Regions from separate parts of the Mus musculus genome. Here all the other regions are reported to be linked to region 3. The links are microRNA targets in miRTarBase. Many come from high-throughput screens and were not tested one by one. Region 3 holds a microRNA gene; each other region holds the end of a gene's coding sequence.
Evidence for each region. Region 3 holds the annotated microRNA mmu-miR-3106-5p (UGGCUCAUUUAGAAGCAGCCA, at 2,505-2,525, opposite strand). A microRNA usually pairs through its seed, bases 2 to 8, with sites in the 3' UTR of a target mRNA and lowers its output. Matches are read on the target gene's strand: a 7mer-m8 pairs with bases 2 to 8, a 7mer-A1 pairs with bases 2 to 7 and ends in A, and an 8mer does both.

Region 1 (6,814 bases), not on the chromosome of region 3:
TTTTATGTGCATGAACATTCTCCTGTGTGTAGATTTGTGTACCACAGGCCTACCTGCTGCCTGTGGAGGTCAGGAGAGAGGATCAAAGCCCTCAGAACTGGAATTATGGGCGATTAAGGATGCTGGGAGCTGAACCACGTCCTCTGGGAGAGCATTGGGTGCTCTGTACCACTGAGCTGTCTCCCCAGCCCCAATTTACTATTATTTTTGAAAGATTTATTTTTACATATGAGTATGTACGTATGTATGTCTGAGTGTATGTCTGAGTGTATGTCTGTCTGAGTGTATGCTACATGCATGAGTGTATCAGATCCTCTGGAGCTTGAGTTAGACGGGTGAACCTGCTGTGAGAACTCAGGTCCCTGGAAGAGCAGCAAGCACTCTTAACCACTGAGCTTCTCTTCAGCTCTATATTGTTTACTTATTTTTAAGACATGGTCTCACATCTCACATCTCCCAGGCTGACCTCCAACTTGCTAGAAATCCAAGGATGACCTAAACCTTGGGATTCTCCTTTTCTCCCATGGCGTGTGTTACCACGTCCTGTTTGTTTGTTTATTTAATGTAAGTACACTGTAGCTGTCTTCAGACACCCCAGAATAGAGCGTCAGATCTCATTAATAATGTGAGCCATCATGTGGTTGCTGGGATTTGAACTCACGACCTTCTGAAGAGTAGTTGGAGCTCTTAACCACTGAGCCATCTCTCCAGCCCGGTTTTATTTATTTATTTCATGTATGTGAACACTGTGGCTGTCTTCAAACACACCAGAAGAGGGCTTCGGGTCCCCATTGCAGATGGTTGTGAGCCACCATATGGTGACTGGGAATTGAACCCATGACCTCTGGAAGAGCAGTCAATGCTCTTAACCACTGAGCCATCTCTCTAGCTCCCCATGTCCTGTTTATTTTGGTGTGTTTTGGTGGTGTGGGTTGAATCCAGGACTTGTGCACACTAGGCAAGCATTTTACTAAGTGAGTTTCACTCCCAGCTCTATCCACTGTTGCATTGAGACAGGGTGTCGTTTTATAGCCCAGGGTCGCCTTTAACTCAATGGGTTGGTCAGACTGACCTTGAACTCCTGGCAATCCTGATGATTGCTGTTACAGCCTCCTGAATAGCTGTTACTGGCATGCACCAGTATGCCCATCTTTGGTTTCATTTAGGTAACAGTGCTGGGCTATCTTACAAACTGTCCCTTTTGTATTTAGCTGTGATTTCCCCGTGTTGAGGCTGAGACATGAATGGTCCAGGGCTCCTGGAACATCCTAGCATCCCTGTTTAGGTCCGCCTGTTGGCCCTGGTCCCTTGGTTTCAGAGAGGTGGGTTTTGTTTGTTTGTTTTGAGAGGACAGAGTATCCTTTCTGAGCCCCTAGACTTTGTAACTGCTCTCTCTCAGGGAAGGCAAGTCCTGCAGTCAGGAGTTTAACACCCCAGTGCCTTCTTTCTCCCAGCCTCCGCGACCTTGAGCCATCACTACCCAGCCTGCGTGGCCACGCATCATTGCAATCAAGTGGCCATAGAGTCAGTGGGAGACGTGACTTTCACAACCCAGAAAAACTGCTGTTTTGGAGATCTGTGCAACAGCGCCGTGGCAAGCTCCGTGACCCCCTTGTGCATCTTGGCTGCAGCTGTTACCACCCTGGCCTGGCTCTTGCCAGGACTGTAGAGCTGGAGGGTGGGACCGAGGGCAGGGTAAGGACTGAAGGACCAAGGGAGTGAGGGAGCTGGACATCTAAGGTAAGAAGACAAACACTCCCTTGTGTGCCGTTAAAATTGATGAACTATTCTAGAGAGGACTGTAAAAATATTTGTTTTTCATTCTTTGAGGCAAGGTGCTGGGATTAAAGGTGTGAGCCACCACTACCGAAATGTTCGTTTGGGTTTTTTTTTTTTTTTTTTTTTTTTTTTTTGAGACAAGTTTTCTCTAGGTAGCCCTGGCCATCCTGGAAGTCACTCTGTAGACCAGGCTGGCCTTGAACTCAAAGATCCACCTGCCTCTGTCTCCAGCTCCAAAAGGCATGTGTCATTGCTCCTAGCTTCTGAGTGCCTTCTGTTGAGAAGACTGAAGGGATAACGCACTTATCTGGCTTCTAGTTCAGTTAACAACAGTCCATCAGTGGACCTGATCCAACGACACTCCTCAAAACAATGGTGACTCTGTCCTCAGTGGCTCCCGGGACCTGCTGCTAGGCAGACTCCTTCACAGTGAGGGTCCCTGGAGGGAAGGCTGGGTGGAGGGTTATCCAGAGTCCATGGTTTCCCTTCTGTATTTCATAACTTGGCTCTCAATAGGAAGGAGTATTTCGAACTGAGAAAGGAAAGTTGCTTGAATAACCCAGTTAGAAAGGCACCTCAGAGGTGGAGACAAGAGCCAGCTCTGTCTGTACACACATTTCCTTTCTGGGGCACCCTCTAGCTAGGCTGCACCTGCTTCTTGGCGGGTGTCGTCTAAATTTAGGATAAGGGCTGTTTCTCCAAACACTGGTGCCAGTGTGCCACCCTCAGGTGTGGGAAGGGAGAAAGGCTTGCAAAACCTGCTCTTCCATTTGGTCAGTGAAACTCCCCCCCCCCAGGAGGCCTCTTAGGCAAGCATAAGGGTGAGGTGCAGGGAGTGAGATTTCCATGGAGAGAGTCCCTCCCCCACCTCCTGCTCCTCCCCTCCCCATCCTCCTCCCCTACCACCTATCTGTCTCCCAAGTGCTAGGATTAAAAGGGCATAGAGCCATGCCCACCTCTTCCTTCTTTCCTTCCATTCTTCCTCCCTTCTCTTTCTTTCTTTCCTTTTCTTTTCTTGTTTCTTTTGTTTTGTTTTGTTTTGTTTTGTTTTGTTTTGTTTTGTTTTGTTTTGTTGAAACAAAGTTTCTCTATATAGCTTGGCTGTCCTGAAACTCTCTCTGTAGACCAGGATGGCCTAGAACTCAGAGATCTGTCTGCCTTTGCCTCCCCAGGTGCTGGGATTAAAGACTTGCGCTGCCTGGCCATACCAGCCTCTTTCTTTCTGAGACAGGATCTTATTGTGGTTCATGCTGACCTTGAATTTGCTATGGAGTCAAGGATGGTCTTGAACTATTACTGCCTCTGCCCCCCAGTTGTTGAGATTACAGAGGAAAGCCACCGTACCCAGATTAGCACTTATATCTTCTAACAATAAACACAACGCTTATTAGACACTGATGTTTATTTCTCAAGATAGAAGGGGACAAGCAGAGGGTCTGGTAAGCCAGGCCCATGCAATGAGGCCAGCGCCTTTTGGAATCACTCCCTGGAGACAAGACAGGAGTTCTTCCAGACTTAGATCCCAGAGGCACAGCAGTGTGCGTCCAAGGAGGGGAGCCTTTCAGTGGCCAGTGGAGGAGGTAGAGTGTTCTAGAAGGAAATGGGAAAGGACTGGGTGTGTGTGTGTGTGTGTGTGTGTGTGTGTGTCTTTGTGTCTGTGTGTCTGTGTGTCTGTGTGTGGGTGGAATGGAGTGGAAGGTGACAAGTGAGGGAGAGGAGCGGTGGCTAGAAAGGCCACTCCAGGTACAGTCCCATGAAATAAATGGTATAGGACTAGGGACATGATCTTCAGAAGAAGGGGGTGGGAGGAGAGAAGATTCTGGAAAGCTGGAGCTCTGAGGACACAGGGAGAAAGGCTCAGGCTATAGCAGGTGGTAAGATTGTAGCCATGGAGCTAGTCTCAATGCAATAACCAGAGGCCGAGGCCAGCCAAGGAGGTGAGGGAGATGAGGGCCAGTGCGGGTGTGGGCCGTGGAGCCGGGCTGTTACAGTTATCCTTGTCACAGCAGGTGGTGTTGTAGTTCAGGCCCAGCTTATGGTTGGTTTCGTTGAAGACCTCCCGACAAGGCTCTTCTGGTGTGCCGCAGCGCAGGTTAGAGAAAACCCACATCTTCCCTAGAGGCAGGAGCCAATGGAGAAAGGATCAGCAGTGGGCACTGGCTTGCCTGTGTCCATTGGCTACTCTCCCTTCCCCAAACTGCTTGGTTTCTCCCTTCTCTCCTCAAAGTCTCATCATCCTTCCCGAGCATGAGCCATGCCCCTTCTCCTAAGACCAATTCCTGGGGTCAACACAAGCATCCACTAACACAGTAGAGACACAGGTCAGCGCCTGGCACATAATCATCTTTGGCCATCCGACATCACTGTTGTAACTCTCTGAACTATCCCTGGATGGGCTTCAGACAAAGAGATCATCTCCCACCCGGCCTTCCCTTCCCAGAGAAGAGGGGGTGTTACCAAGGTACACGTTTGTTGTCAGGCATTTGTGGCCCGGCTCCAGGCGGCAGGACTGGCGATCCACACAGCCCAGCACAGGGACTTTGTAGCAGGAGTGACATCGAGTATCAGCTGGGGAGGCAACAAGTTGGGTTGAGGTAATGGGACATCTGAGTCACCCGAGGATGAGTTGAGTTAGGGGTTAGGATGGAGAACTGCCGCATTGCGCAGTCAGTGCCTCACACCTGCTCTGTTCAGAGACAGAACAGGTGAGCAATCCGGCGAAAGTGCAAAGTGGTGTGGGCACTGGGCGGAGGTGTTTGTTCTATGTGGAAACCTAAATACCTTCCTCCACCCAAGCCTGCCTGAGATGAGTCAAGAATTGTACTAACAAAAACCCGGAGCTGAGGATGGCTGAGATGTGTGGAAAGAGGGATGGAGCAGAGGTTGGGGTCCAGGGTGAGACTTGAAATAGGGAGAAAGAAGTTAAAGGAGTCCACAGAGCCTTCAGAGATGGCATGAAACCACGGCTGCAAGAAAGTCACCGGTGACTAGCTTTAGAAGTGGACTGGACCTCTGCCAACAGATTGGGGAGATTACTGAATGAATCATCTCTACTCTTCTGGCGTTTGCTCTATGGAAAAAAGGAAAACTAACACCTGGTAGACGTATCACTGGCATCTAACAGAAATGGAGAGGGTGGGTGCAGCGGATGACACGCCAGGATTCCCGGGTTGGCTAACTCCAGATGTAAGCACACAAAGTGCGGCGCAGGAATGGTCAGCCCAGGGGTAGAGGAGCCTAGAGAGCCTCCCGGAAACGCATCTCACTTTAGGGTAAGTGCTGCAGCATCTTCTCTGTAGAAGGCTCAGGGAAAGTTTCTGATTCTTGGGAAGGCTGTAGCAGTCGCTGGGTCCACCCAGAAGGCTTTGCATCCCCGGTAGGGATATAGGTGTGTAACTCAGGAAGGAGCAGGGAACGAGCCAGGAAGGGCCATCGCTGAGGCTCTGAGAGGAGTGGCATGGAATCCTTTCTATGAGGACCCTCAGCTCAGGGCAGTAGGTGAGTGAAGGCAGGTATGCTAATCTTGGAGAAGTGCATTTGGAACTGGCTAGACAGACATCTGGGTGTTATAGAGTGCAGGAAAGGTGTATAGAGACCTAGTGCCATAATGCCAGGTAAGAAGAGTAGGCTAGGCCAATACAGGGCTAGGAGAAAATGACAATGGAGACCTGGGTCCTTGATAATGGACCAAAGAGCCTAGGTGTGATACACATGTGTAATCCCAGCATTAGAAGGTAGAGGCAGGAGGATCAGGAGTTCAAAGCAGGAGACTCTGACCCACCCCCCCCCAAAAAAGAATACAAGAAATGGAAGGAGGAAGGAAAAGAAGGAGAGGAGTAAGAAAACTAGAGCCCATCATGCTCAGAGATATCTGATCCTGGAGGCATTGGCGAGACTAAGCCATGTAGGGTTGGGACTTCTTGGGATCCTGAGTAGAGGGAAATATGAAGTATTGGATTGGGATGGGGCCTGGGGCCCCTCAGCACTCACCTGAGACCCAGCAGTAGAGTAGGGCAGACAGGGTGAGCAACAGGAGGTGTTTCATGGTGAGGGTCCTGAGAATGTCCACAGCCCCAGCAGTTGACAGCAGATTCCCAGGTCTCCAGCTCTGAGAGTTGAGCGGTCTTTTCAGAATTTATAATCCCAATGGCTCCTCCCTTCCGGGCCTGTGCCCTCTGTGGGCACCTCCCTCCCAATTTATTCCCAGCTGACTAAAGAGAAAGACTAGAGGTGGAAAGGGTCCAAGAGGGCCTGGGTAGGAAGGGGAGACAGGAGAGGGAGATAGGAGGGGGAAAGTGTCACTAGTGGGCAACTCCATTTTGGATCTTGGATTCAGGACCCCCAGCTGAGGGCCCCCTGCCCTGGAGAGAGCATCAGAAAAGCCTCTGTGACTTAGACAGCCACAACACTAGTTTCTGCTAGTTCCCAGGAAACAGACAGTAACTGAGTTGTTTCAGCAACTTTGGGTGCCTAGGGATGGGAGGACATTGATCAGACATTCCAGCAGAAATTGACGAAACAGGTGAATTAATGTAGATCCATTCCCCAGCCAGTCTTCCAACTGATGCTCAGCCACAAGATAAAGAAGGGCTTATGGCATCATGGAGGGTTTCTGTGATGTCAGAGAGGCGGGGCTGAGGCTGTATAACATGCCAAGGAAGCCCTCACCCCACTTGGACTTGGGTTTGGGAGGAGTCCCTTGGGTAGGGAGGAGCCCATTGGGTAGGGAGGAGCCCATTGGGTAGGGAGGAACATCATGGGCACACAGAGGTGAGATAGGAACTAAGATAGAGATAATAATGACCATGTCATACACTGAGTACTCCCATATGTCATCTATTGCTTTAGACTCTCTCAATGTATTGATTTGGTTCTCACATGCTTTTAGCTCCATTTTCCTGATGAGGGAACAGGCAGGGATTAAGTGGCTTGCTCACATCACCCAGCTACTGTGTGGCTGGATGAACTCAGGATTCGAACTCAGGAAGCTGAGCTTCAGTATTTGTGGTACTTTGGGGCCATGGTAGTTGTTCGC
Region 2 (6,814 bases), not on the chromosome of region 3:
GAAGCTGATAACCAGGGATTGTAGCTCAGTGATGGTATGAATGCTTACATGTGAAAGACCCTGGGTTCTATCCCCAGCACCACAAAAAAAGGCTATTGGTACTATAGTCCTAAAATAAGATTTCTGTACTATAATTTCTAGTACATTAATAACTTCTATAAGTCACCAATTATGGTGACAAGTGACGTCCATGAAGATATTGGCAGGGGAATCCTGATATCGTCTCAGACAAGCTCAGCCATCAGTAAATGCAGTTTCCCTGTGTTGAGTATACGACTAAATTGATACGGCTTCTGTCTCCCTCTAGTGGTAGAAAAGAAAAAAACACTAGAAAAGGTCAGTGGTAGTAATGTGAGTTAAAACAGGGTAGTATGATTTAGGATGAAGAGATCAGATGAAAGAACTTTTGTTTACACTTATATGGATGACAAAAAGTAGTCAACAGTACAAATTAGGGAACAGAACTTTCTCAGCAAAGGAGACAACAGGAGCAACAGCCTTAAGAAACAGAAGTGCTGGGCTGGTGAGATGGCTCAGTGGGTAAGAGCACCCTACTGCTCTTCCAAAGGTCTGGAGTTCAAATCCCAGCAACCACATGGTGGCTCACAACCATCCGTAACAAGATCTGACTCCTTTTCTGGAGTGTCTGAAGACAACTACAGTGTACTTACATATAATAAATAAATAAATAAATCTAAAAAAATTTAAAAAAAAAAAGTGCTAAGTGGTTTGAGGAAAGGAATAGAAGGCCAGTGTAGAATTGGCTGAGCTTTTAGAGAAGTTGACATGACATTAGATCAACACAAGGCTGAAGATGGAGTTTAGGTCTCAAGTAACAGAAAATCAGTGGAGAGCACTAAGCAAAGTGGAAACAGATTTACCAGATCACACTGGTTGCCAGTAGCAATGGATAAAAAAGAGCCTGCAGTTTCAATATGAAACTGCACCTAACAGTCAAGGCAAGATGAAGGGACCCAGGACATCTCACACTGAGCCTGGCTAGATCAGAATTGAACATCAAACAACTTCTCTCATAACTAACTTCCACTGTTACCTAGTCCTCCCAATGGTAGATAGATTGTCCAGGTACCCAGGCAGGAAACCAAAAGTCCAGCAATCCCTCTCTTCCATGTCCATAATGTTGGCTGCAGCTCCATACCTAAGACCCTCATGCTGCTCTGACCTTCTCTGCAAATCATCTCTTTCCATCACTGTCACTAGATACTGAACAAAATGCTTCCATGTTTCCAAATACCCACCTGTATACAACACTGGTGTGCTTATAAAAAGGAAACACAAGATGGCCATGTGACAAAAGTGGCAGAGGCAGAGATGCAGGTACAACTAGAGAAAACTAAGAATTTCTGGGACCTGCCACACACTGGAGAGGGGCACTGGAATGGGTTATCCCTTATGAGGAACCCACTTCTCAGATGCCTGCCATCCTTAACAGGGAGAGGAAATCTGTTGCCTAAGCTCCCTAACGTGTGGTACTTTGTTGCTGCAACCACAGGAAATTCAAGCCCCAAATTAGTTGACTTGGCCCCTTTCACCACTCTGTTGTGTCAATAATGAGCTTTCCTCAGCCATAGGCAGAAGAAACCTCAGAGCTGTGTGTAACAGCTACTTCCTATGTAATACAGGGGAATTAAAGAGATAGAAATAGCAAAGAAAACCTTTGTTACTGGCAATCCTACCCCTACATCCAACAAGGGAGGACAGAGTGCATGCTTGAAAGTCTTACTTCTTTATTTCATATTTTATACATAATTTAATCCTCGGGCCTTTTTATACCATCGTACAGAGAATGTTCATGTAATAAAATGTTCAAGATGCTAGCCATGCAGGCCTGTGTCATCGGATATGTTGTATCTTATTTCATCACAGCCTTGGGTGGTAACAGATGATGGTGCCATAACACTGGAGAGGCACTCCAATGAAGCAGTCACTGTGAGGACCAAACTGTTGTCAGGTAAAGAGGGCTGGGGATGCTTCCAAAGTGCTTGTTCATCTCTCCAAACTCCCACCTTGAAAGGGGAAACACTAAAAGGTAGGCCTTACCTTGCCTGAGGGTGTCACACACAGGGCTGCAATTGTTCCTTTTTAGATATCATTCCTACCTACAATCTGCCTTATCGTTTATTACTTCAGTAGGTGAAGCACTCTGTACTGTCTTACTGGCTCTCTGGTTTTCTCTTGGGCATGGGCCAACAGGAAGAGAGCATACATAAGAAGCACTATCTATTCCAGAACAGGTCTTCTGGAAAGGGCATGCTTCTAGCTGTATGGATCTAAAAGTTGTCTGCCAGAGGCCACATAAAATTTGTGCAAAAGCAAGTAGACTAATTCCTGAGGGGAATGGAACGACCACTTTTTCCAGTTCTAGCTTAAGTAATTCTGCAAAAGAAAAGAGCATGTCTCATGTCAAAAAGATGGTAGAATCTCAAATCTTTGATGTACGGTTAATCATACACCATACTGCAGGGTAAGTCGGTGGCAAGGGCTCCCACCTTCTAGAAGGGTACTAGGTCCCAACCATTACCTTGTGCCACCCTCAGATTTGTCTTGACCAGTGCATGAAGCCCATGTTTTCAAGCTTCCTACTGTGTAACCTGGGTCACACCTGCTTTCTGGGACCCTTTCAGGATAAAGTACTGGTCAGAAATGCACCTATGCATCTCTGTTTATCCAAGAAGCGTGAAGCTCATGCAGCCACTGCAGGCAGCCCAACAGCTCTCTCCTACTATAGCCAACCTGCCTTTCCCAATCATTCCCACTGACCCTACTAACAGCATCAAGCACTGACAAGGGTCTGCCTTCAAACTCTGAAGACTACTGGTCATCACCCTAGAGACCAGGTCTCTCTAGCAGAATTACAAGGCTTTAAAGGCCCTGCCTTTGGGCTGCATTTACTCAGGTTCTGATGATATCCATACTCCGGGTTATATAAGCCCAAACCCCCATAATGTGAGAACAAGACTTTATTTGGGGAAAGGATCTTGGTAGGTGGAATGAGTTAAGGGTCTTGAACTGGAGATCCTCCTTAATCTAATCAAATAGACCCCACATGCACAACATGGTTTCCTTATGAGACAGAAGAGAGGAAGAAACCACAAGGCCCTAGAACCAGAAACTGGAGTGATGGGTCTATGAGCCAAGCAACACCAAGGACTACCACAAACCACTGAAAGTTAAGAGAATGCCTGGAATTGATTCTCACAGCCTCCAGAAAAAACTTAATATGTGGCTTCCAGACAGGAAAGAGTGATTTGTTGTTGTTGTTGTTGTTGTTGTTGTTCTTGCTCTTCCAAGTTTAGGAAAAATTTTAAAGCAGCTATAGAAAAGTGATATATACCACCACAAAACTGGACTCAACCTAAACCAATAGTATTCCTAAAGGAAAATTATAGATTAGGTATTTAAATGAAAACACATAAGCAAAGAACTTGTTTGTTCCTTTAACATTTTCCTAAAGATCTTTCTGATAGATACCTGGGAATTAGGAAATGGAAAACTTACTCTGCATCCCCTGAAAATTCCGAGAAAGCCCCCAGCTCAGGATTACTTTTTAAATCCTTTTTTATAATCTGAATTCTACTTAGCCTTCTCACTCTTAATGGGAAAGAAACCATGTAAATAAAAGCCCCCGGGATGGATTCACAGATACCACTCAGAACCATGAAAGCTTACAGGAGGGCAGGAAGGATTTAGACCTAAGGAATGAGCAAGGCATATTTATTGCTTTCTCAACTACAACTTCCTTTCCTTTACTAGAACTGCAGGTCTAATACCAATGACGGTAAGGTCCCACAAAATGTCTAGAACCTTGCAAAACAAGTGAAGTGTTCCCTTTTCTGTGATCAGTCAGTCACTGCTAAATGGTTCCCTAGGACATTTTGGCTGGTGAAGAACATGTGATCACAAACTCCAGGAGTGTGATGAACTATGGCCACCACCATTCACAGAAGGTAACAATGTGCTTGGCAAAAACAAGAGCACACTGGGGCTAGAAAAAGGAAAGCATACATGTGAAATACCTTTCTGTTGACAAAGCAGTCATAATTCCAAAGTCAAAAAACTAGGAGTAAAGAATGGGTAAGTAGGAGTATAAAACAGCTTCTAGGCCCCAAAACACTAACAATCAATGTGGAACAAGGGGTGCACTTCTGTAATAGTCAAAACCAACCTGACTGATAATCAAAAAGCTCTACAAAGCCCAAGAACAAATGGCAATGTCCCAACAGAAAAATGGGTAGGAATTATGAAAATCCAAGTTACATCAGAGGAATTAAAAAGGGCCCACATGCCCCAGAAAAAGACACTTAAGCAAATTCTTTAGTAAAGAATGGTATATCTTAGAGATGGCAAAAATCCAAAGGTCTGCCCACCTCCTCCAGGGCAAGGATCCAATGTCACATCTAAGCATCTGTCCTAAAGGTACACACAGATCAGTGTACAAGTACTTTCACTACACCATTAATTACAGTAACAAAAGGACAGAATACTTTCCACATGTCTACCAGAGGTAACACATGTTATAGACCCAAGTGCCACATGCCCTGGGAGGAGAGCCTGCAGTTCACCGGCAAGAAAGGTACCAGTTGGAGAGAAGAAAAGCTGTACCCAGACCTGCTTGGAGAAGGGATGCTCCCTAAGAGCCCCTGGCCTCCATTCTAGACTCCCTAGGACTATGGGAGAAGAGGGAAGAAGCCACCAGAGGCAAACTGGATCAGGCACACAGAAAAAAAAAAGCCCTGAATGGGGCTGTCTACCCTAAATGGGGGACCAAAGGGCTAAAGCAAGCCCTTAAGTGTGGACTATGCAGGTAAAACAGGAAAGCACAAGTCACACAGATCAGGACATAGTACTGCAAGTGGCCTTGCATCTGCTGCTCCTACTCTATGCACTCCATGACATGTATCTGTAGAGTGTCCATATCAGGAGCCTGATACTGGCACTTCGGACAACAGAAGTCAGGAGGTTCTTCAGGAGGGCTCCTCCGCTGGTTGGACAAGGCCAAATGAAAGGAGTGGTGAGCTGAGAAAAAAGAACACAGGAGTGTGATGAACTATGTAAGTACTTCATGCACAGCCTAGGTAGGCCTCAAATGGAAAGGGGGGCTAACAAGGTGCTGAGACTTACTGATACCACCATATTTGACTACATTGCTGGGAGCCACCTCCACCAGCACATTTTTCCTTTGACCTCAGAGTGATGTGGGCTACTGACAGGAGAGGTCAGCAAGAACTCCCCAAAGCAGAGCAGCAGAGAAACCAACACATGTTTCCCCTCCCTAAGCATCTCCTCCCATCATCTACCACTTGTTCACTTACCTGGAGCAGGGAGTAAAGGAGGCTGGGGAGTCTCTACATGCCGCTTCCTCATATCCTCAATCCTTTTGAAAACAGAAAGCATTCAATCAATGCTTATAGGGTTTTTTATGAATAAATACATTCATTTAGATATAATTCATGTACTATATAAGTCCCCAATTTAAACCGTATTGTTAGAGGGTTTTACTCTATTCAGCATATCCAATCATCAGCCTAATTTTAGAATATTTTATCATCCCCCAAAGGAAACTTTGTACTTATTAGGAATTATTCCTTGGGTTCCCCTATATTAGTTTCCTCAGAACCTTGTTACAAACTACCACATACTTAGTAACTTAGAATAACAAAAACGTGCATGATACAGATGACTAAGTGCCCCAAATAAACGTGTCAGAGGACTGGGCAGAATTACCATGCCCACCCCCTAGCTGCCAGTGGTTTACAAAGTGTTTGGCATTTCTTGGCTTGTAGCTGAATCTCAGAGTCTGCCTTAGCCTTCTTGTGGCAGCCTTCTATTATCTTAATTTGGTGCTTCTGTAAGTACCACAGTCAACTAATTAACCTAATGTGACCTTATATTAACTAGTTACATATATAAAGATACTAAACCAAATAAAGTCATATTTTGAGTTTTTAGATAGATACATTTGCACTGGTTAGGTTTTTGTTGTTGTTGTTTGTCATTTTGACAAAAGCTGGATTCATCTGATCAAAGTCATCTGATATTTACTCAACTGAGTATATTAGACTGGCCTATAGGCAAGCCTTTGGGGCATTTTCTTCATTGATAAGAGAAGACCTAGTTCCCTAGAGACAGTGCCACACCTCAAGCAATCACTTAGGTTGCAAAAGCAAGCAAGCCAAAAAGTCGTTCTTCCAAGGTTTTGACTTCAGTTCCTATCTCAAGTTCCTATCCATCAAGTGGTTAGAGCTTAACGGGCTGCTCTGTGGGAGCCAAGGAAGATAAGAATGCTGACACCAAAGCAAATGAAGTTTCAGAGGGAAGCAAAGATTCTATCAGCGTCATTTGTGTGGTATTTTGAATTAAGAATCTGCAGTTGAAGTCAGCTGAGGCTGAAGAATCAGGTGCGATGAACAAGAGATCAGCAGAACTCAAGTAAAACCTTTGCTTTACGAGGGAGGACAACTAATGCTGGTTAACTGAAGCTGAGAAATTAGCTGTGATTAAGAAGAAAACAGTATCACTGAGGTGAAATCTTTTAAAATCTAGAGAGTATCTCCTCAGGATCAGCACACAGGAGAGGGGACCAAGTAATATGAAGGCATCATGGAAAGCAGCTAAAGAAAGGGCTTGGCACTATTTCAGAGGTCAGGAGAAGGTGCACCCTCAGCTGCAGTGGAAACCCTAGCATATTGGATGCCAGTAACATGGGACAACCACCATGGAGAGCAGAAGCTGTGGCAAGTTTGTAAGGCATATCTTCAATTAATAATTGCTGTGGGATGGCCCAACCTATGGT
Region 3 (6,814 bases):
CAGCTCTAAGCACTAACCTCCAATGGGTGCCTGCCTAGGTTTACCCACAACATGGATGCCAAAGCCAGAGTCGTTGGCAATGTTGGGCTCAGGCAATAGAGGAAAGGAATCCTACCTTCTGCCCTGTAGCCAAGGAACTAAATTACTGACAAGGCATTTTGCTAAATGATGGAGTAGAGGCAGGGGTACAGAGGCACAGAGAGATGTCTGGGCACTAGCAGGAAGAAAGCCATTTGGATAGTTCTAGAAGGAAGTACAGCTACCTTACCTAGTCCTCAAACCAGAGTGAAATCGTACTGGAAAGAAAATTCTTGGGCATGATGGAGTAAAAACATTGTGGTATCCAGAGAAGAATGGTAGTCATGGTTCTCAGTGGTACCTAGAGAAGAATGAATGATGTGCAGCCTACCTATGACCTCTGTATCTGTTGAAGCTATCTGACAAAGAAGTGGAGTCAGATGGGTAGGACAGGGGAGGAGAAAGGTTGGGGAATACAAAACACACTGATCCAACACTAATGTATTATTGAACCTGGCTCAGAAATACTGGCATAGAGATGCTGGGGGTGGCACACAAATAACCATAGACTCACAGGGATACAGGGAGGGACACACAGCACAGACCCAACATTTAAGAGTTCATTTGTGGTCCTATGGAATGGATTGGAGTGAGAACAGATAGGAAGGCAGAGTCACTGCAAAGCTATCAAAAGTAGGGTTAGAGGACAATGGTTCAGATGAGATGCGAGCTAATGTGGAGGAGGAAGAGCACAGCTCCCGAGGAAGAGAGCATAGACACTGAGCACAAGACACTGAACCCGGGCCCACCCCTCACTCAGAGATTAGCCCTCACCAAGGCTTCCTGAGACACCAGGAAAGCAAAGAAACCTTTCATTGACGATAATTAGGAGCTAATCTTAATAAACATGTTTCAGAGAATACTCACACACAGAACAAGACATTTCGTGTTCTCTTGGATTCCAATTGGAAAATCAGACTTATGAATTAGCACAAATTGTGACGATTGTCTAAGAACACATTAAGACATGCACCTGAGCCATCCCAGCCAAAGCATGATGCGCTCATTCATGCTTTGGAACTTCCTTGGTTGTTCTTGCTGGCCTTTCCCAATGATGTGTGCAAGCTGTTCATTTCTATCTTTTTAAATAAAGGGAAGGACATATGTGGCAAGAAGGGGCATAGAATATTTTTAGCATCCATGTTGACATTCCCAGAGTCCTTGAAAGTTTCAGGATGACATAGAAGCCACTTAGTTATGTGGCATGGTGCTAATGGCTTTCTACTGTTTCTGCTTAATATGTCCATATATTGTAGCTTTTTTTTTCACATTTAATTTTGATGATAAATTTGAAAGAAAAACCCAATACTCTGATATAAAAGTGAAATTTCAATATTATGCTTCAAAATCGATTTTAATTAAGATTTCTGACTGATGATGATACTTTTGATACTAAACACATCTAATAGTTCACTGGGATCACTCAAATTTCTTTTTATTGATGAAATGTATTTGTGAGCATAGTAACTTCTCTCATGTGTTTTGTGAGCACACGTGTTCATGTGTGTACAGACTCATGTGCATGTAGGAGCCAGACACAGATGTAAGGAGTCTTCCTTAATCACTCTTCACATTACTCTTTGAGACCCGTTCTCCCATTCACCCTATAGCCTACCATTTGGGCCAGACTGCCTTCCCACTGAGCCTGAGCCCCCACCTGTCTTTGCATCCTCACACTTCCCAATCACATATTGCCGTGGATGCTTTGAATGTGGGTTCTGGGAACTGAACTCGAGTCCTCATGCTTGCATGGTGAGCAATTTATAGATGGAGTTATCTCTCTAAGCCAACATATTTGTTATTTCTATATTATTGTTGGGTAGACTATAGTAACAGGTTTTAAAACTAAAGAGACAGGGAGGAAGAGAAACAGACATAGACAGAATGCACAGACATGATTGCTCTCATTATCTACCTGAGGATTCAGGTATATCATCTTTGTTTTACTCATTGGTTACTGAGACTATATTGCTTCAAATACATATAAAGTATATTGCCTATTTCTGATTTATATTGAAGAAGAACATTAGATGCTGAAGAGATAAAAAATATAAATACTTGTTCATTAAGAACTTGTGGTTGGTACTGGTTGAAAACCAACATGTAACAGTTATCATTTGGGAGAACATCATGTTAGTAGAACATCGAGTGCTCACTTGACACACACTGAACACATATTAACTTCACTGGGTAAAACATCATTTATTTCATTGCCTAGGCCCAGCCATGGCTTCCAGGGCTCAGCCCCACAAGAGGTGTCACAGATCCATCAGCGAGTGCCTAAGGAGACAGAGGGCATTCTTGTGTTGGTGGCTACCGGCAAAGGAGGTCACATGCCGAGTTGCATGGCTCCTTCCTTGAGGGTCCGTGGCAACAGGAGAGGAGCACAGGAAAGCCCATGTATAGGCAGCCACTCTCTGAGTGTATGGCTGCTTCTAAATGAGCCACCTGTGCTTCCCTGGGGACAAGGTACTGATGAGAAGCCACACAGGTGAGCCTGGGCGTGGCTCTTCCTTCCGTTTCCCAAATGCACATACAGACAATGCTCATGCTAACACTTTTACACAGGAATTCCCAGGAGAAGGACAGCTGTGACCTCAGCGAACAACATTCCACATTTCATAGCAGAAATACCAGTGTTCAGAATATAATACAGGACAATCTGATGGTTTACACACAGGTGATTTAGTAATTTAAAATGTAACTTCCCCCTTCAGGGGTCTGCTTTTCTTTTCTTTTTCTTTTTTTCAAATTTGTTTTTCTAGGACTAATATGTCAAAGTAGTATTCTTGTTTTCCACTCTGAAATTCCACAATTTATTAAAATGCCTAGATGGCTCTAAGCATCTGCTTGGCTGGCAGGAGAGTCTGTGTAACCGCGAAGTCTTCCCGGACAAAGATGAGCGAAAATTTATAAGATAAAAATAGTTTTATATAACTCTCTAATAAATATTCATTTCACAAAGTGAGACAGGAAGTAAAACTAGATTGAACATAGAATTGCAAGCCTGGAATGTCAGCACAAATGGAGCCAACCTGCAGGGGAAGGTAATGACAAAAGGCGACCCCATCAACGCAGCCCCGATGCCAAAATGCAGCACGCACAAATTCTGATGTGCCTTTAAGATTTAAAAGTCCCTTCAAACATATACTTTCAACAATGTTTCTAAGAGTCTTCAGCATTTTTTTGTGAAATTGAATTACATAATTATTTTTAAAGTTAGGAATAGCCTCAACATGAAATCATTTAAATGCAAATGCTGGAGAGACAATTAGGGAAACATTCAATTTTATATATATGAAGTATAGTTTTTTTAGCATTCAACTTTAATTCCCATTGTCTAAAACTCAGTACTGCATACCTTCATATTGATTTAATTTTCATGATAATATCCAAATTGGCACCTCTAAAAATACTTTTTATACACTCTGGGCAATATATTCTTTTCATCTACTATTGGCTTAGGAGCTTGTGGAGGTGGCTGGTCCTGACCCTGGCAACTTATTTAGGAACATGGTCCTTTATGTGACCCTCTCTTAGCAAGGACTTGCCTGGCCATGACAGAAGACATGGTCCGTGTCATGTGAGGCAGATTACAGTTACCTCCAACATAATCCGAGCAGAGGACTCTAAGGCAGATTGTTAGGACTAGGGTTGGTTCAATCAAGGAAAATGTTCAAAGCCTGGCAATCTCCAGGTTTCATGAGATAGTGTGAGACTGGGGGACTTCTAAAGAAATAAACTTCGTATTCACTTAGGAATTTTAACCTAATCCTGGGAAAGGGGAGGGCAGGTAGCTATGGCAGGGGAGGTGCAACCCCATTTGCCTCCCTGTACTAGCCTGGAGAAATAGCCTGCTACTTGGCCTTCCATGCAGCTCTTAAATGTCTCGGTGCTTGGGTAAGACGCACTTCGGGAGGTTAGACTGCAGCTCTCTTTACTTGCTTCAGTGAACTGGCGTTCTTTTTCGTCATTCAACATCATGCTAAAGACTTCTTTGGTTGAGAGTCATAAGATGACTGTGAGGTTTCCATTGCCCCAGGAACCTGTTCAACTTTGGACTGAGCAATGTAACCAGCACTCCTCATGTTAAATTTTCCCACCCTCTGGGTCTGGAGAGATGGCTCAGTGGTTAAGAGCACTGGATGCTCTTGCAGAGGTCCTGAATTCAATTCCCAGCAACCACAGGGTGGCTGTAATGGGATCTGATGCCCTCTTCTGGTATGTCAGAAGACAGGGACAGTGTACTCAAATACATAAAATAAATAAATAAATAAATCTTTAAAAAAAATGTTTCCCCACCCTAGCTGGCCCATGCCTGCTCCCCATATGCCTCTGAGAGCAGTTACTGGTACAGCTATTAGCAAAGGTTAGGATGTTTTTGATACACCCCTTTAAGGCATGTTTTCCTTGTCAGTCTATAAAAGGACTGTAAGCCATACACTCACAATCCAAGCACAGTGACTTCCTTCTTTCTCACTCTCTTCGTGGTCCCTGCCTGAATCCTGTCCCTCTCTCTTCTGCAGAACCTAGGCTGTAGGCCTAGTCGGTGATAACTTGGGGGGCAAGGTTTATATAACATCCTGTACATGAGGTGTACATGAGCATCTCCTCATGGGGGCAGTATTTAGCATTTGGATATTTAGCAGCACCAAACCAACCCTTACATTTCACTCTTCAAGGAATGGCTGATGGCTTAGTCCCTGGGAGTTCTTTTGGAGGAACCCTCTCATAGAAGCAGGGGGAGAGAGGATGTGATAGGGTGTTTCTGGGAGGGAGGGAAACTGAGAAATGGGATGACATTTGAAATGTAAATAAAGAAAGTATCCAAGAAAAAAGAAGAATGGCTGAATGCCAGCGAGCTGTCAGTCTGACTGTAACTCCTGAGTGCCAGGCTGCCCTCTCTCTGCTGCTTATGTCATGGATGGACAGCCACCTGTGCAGGAGCTGAAGCTCCATAGTGCACTAATGGGCTCGGTGCAGATCCTCAACATGAAGTAGAGATAAAGTTCACCACGCAAACTACCACCAGTGGAACAAAGTCATTGCATCGGATCTATTCATCAAAATCACCTCTCCTGTCCTGTGAGGTCAGCCATTGCAGGTTTTCCTGCAGGTTCTTGGAGTACGCAATCTCATGCTTCCCGAGTGCGTCCTCCTTGGCCACACCCCCATCCCATCCTCCCCTCCTTCCTATTGGCCTTCCTATAAACTGGAGCCAAGAACACAGTCTCCTCCTTTAACTTCCAGTGATGTGGTCATCTGAGAAATCCCCAGAAGCTGTTTGTCTGTCGCAGTCTGTCTTATAGGAACAGAGAGGGGTTTATTATTGTCCAAATCAGTTTGTGCTGATTATACTCTGTTTGAAGCTTGTTACACTGCCCCTGGCTATGGTTCAAGCACTAAGTATACTCTGAAATTTCTTATGAATCCTGCCACAAATGAAAAAACATCAGTGTTGTCCTTGCTTTTTATTCTTTTATTTCATTGTGTCTGTTATTCCAGGTAGGATATAACCTGAAAACATGGGCAGGATTGCTTTAATTTTAATCTATACAATCCTGACCCTTAATGTATAAAGCATGCCATAAGTTCACATCACCATACTTAATTGATATCCATTTTAATCTAGATAATGAGCTGATAGCTGCCACAGACTAAACTAAAATAACAACCATCTAGTGAATTCCATCTTTAGTGAAATATAAACTACATTGCTTGTCCACATAAAGCAACTAGCAAATGGGCTTTCAAAACCAAGAAGATAAACTTGTGCCCTGAGAGTTTTAATGCTTCTTAATTTCCACAAGAAGTTGGAAGGATTTAAAAATAGTATTCAATCAGAAATATGCAGCAATGGAAATTTCAAAATGAGTTTAATAATAATAATTCATGTGGCTAGAAAAGAAGCTGGCAAGTTTCCCATTTCTCTACAAATTGAGTTTCCAAAGAGGGAATCCCATCGGCCCCATGCTGTGCTGATGGAAGGATGCTCACAGCATATGCACATATTAAGACAGGCAAAAACATGGCTTATTTTACATCACATACATTTTAGCACCGACATCTTCATTAGAAATACAAAGTGGTTTTATTTTGGCCACGGTAAATTGAGTTAGAGGATGTAACAGGAGCTGAACGTGAAATCTCAGGTTTGTGAAGCTAATCCTGGGTGGCAGAATAGATTTACAACAGAAACAGAGAATCCCCTCCTGCTCTTTTGTTTCTGGGCTTTGAGTTGAGATTTACTTTCTCCCTGTGGGCCAGGCTATCCTGGAGCCAGTCCTCCTCTGTCTCACTCTCTCTATCCCTGAGATTATAAGCATGGGCAACCACCCAAACTGTTTGCATTTCTTGATAAAAGATTTTCTTGTTTTTATTTTCTACAAAAGATATTGCATACCTTCATGTCTAGATGTGTCTTTTACTTAAAAGTATCAGTGAATCCATGAGCATCCATTCAAGTTAGCAATTAACCCATTTCCAACCACTTTCTTCAATTTCTTTATTATCTAAGAGGACAAATCAGTAATCTCTGACCCTTCACAGGCTTGCCTGATCCACACTGGCCTTACTTCAAAGAGAGGCACATTGTCATTAGTGGAAGATTCTAGAAAGAATCCCAGCGCATAGATGATCACCACAGATATTTTACTATCTTACCCTTTTAGCTCATATTTCACTGGCCAAGATGTGCTGGGTTCCAGTGAGTTAATCAAAGCAGAAGGAATTCCAT

Region 1: the mRNA of Ly6g6d is a reported target of mmu-miR-3106-5p. Seed matches in the 3' UTR shown: 7mer-A1 at 1,854-1,860.
Region 2: the mRNA of Ikbkg is a reported target of mmu-miR-3106-5p. Seed matches in the 3' UTR shown: 7mer-A1 at 600-606 and 7mer-A1 at 530-536.

The regions. Positions count from the first base shown.
Region 1 is chr17:35,066,400-35,073,213 of GRCm38, reverse strand. It overlaps Ly6g6d (lymphocyte antigen 6 complex, locus G6D), which reads left to right. Exons shown (of 5, transcript NM_001371028.1): 5 at 1,455-1,872. The coding sequence ends at 1,669. It overlaps Ly6g6c (lymphocyte antigen 6 complex, locus G6C), which reads right to left and starts at 5,889. Exons shown (of 3, transcript NM_023463.3): 1 at 5,770-5,889; 2 at 4,237-4,347; 3 at 3,166-3,894. The coding sequence starts at 5,824. The coding sequence ends at 3,680. It also overlaps a transcript of Mpig6b not described here.
Region 2 is chrX:74,446,440-74,453,253 of GRCm38, reverse strand. Ikbkg (inhibitor of kappaB kinase gamma) reads right to left here. Exons shown (of 10, transcript NM_010547.2): 9 at 5,334-5,395; 10 at 1-5,037. The coding sequence ends at 4,895. Among named protein-coding and RNA genes, the nearest start is that of Ikbkg, 20 kb to the right of the region's middle.
Region 3 is chr8:16,166,301-16,173,114 of GRCm38, forward strand. It overlaps Mir3106 (microRNA 3106), which reads right to left and starts at 2,538; the gene lies at 2,457-2,538. The region is part of intron 23 of Csmd1 (CUB and Sushi multiple domains 1); the gene reads right to left.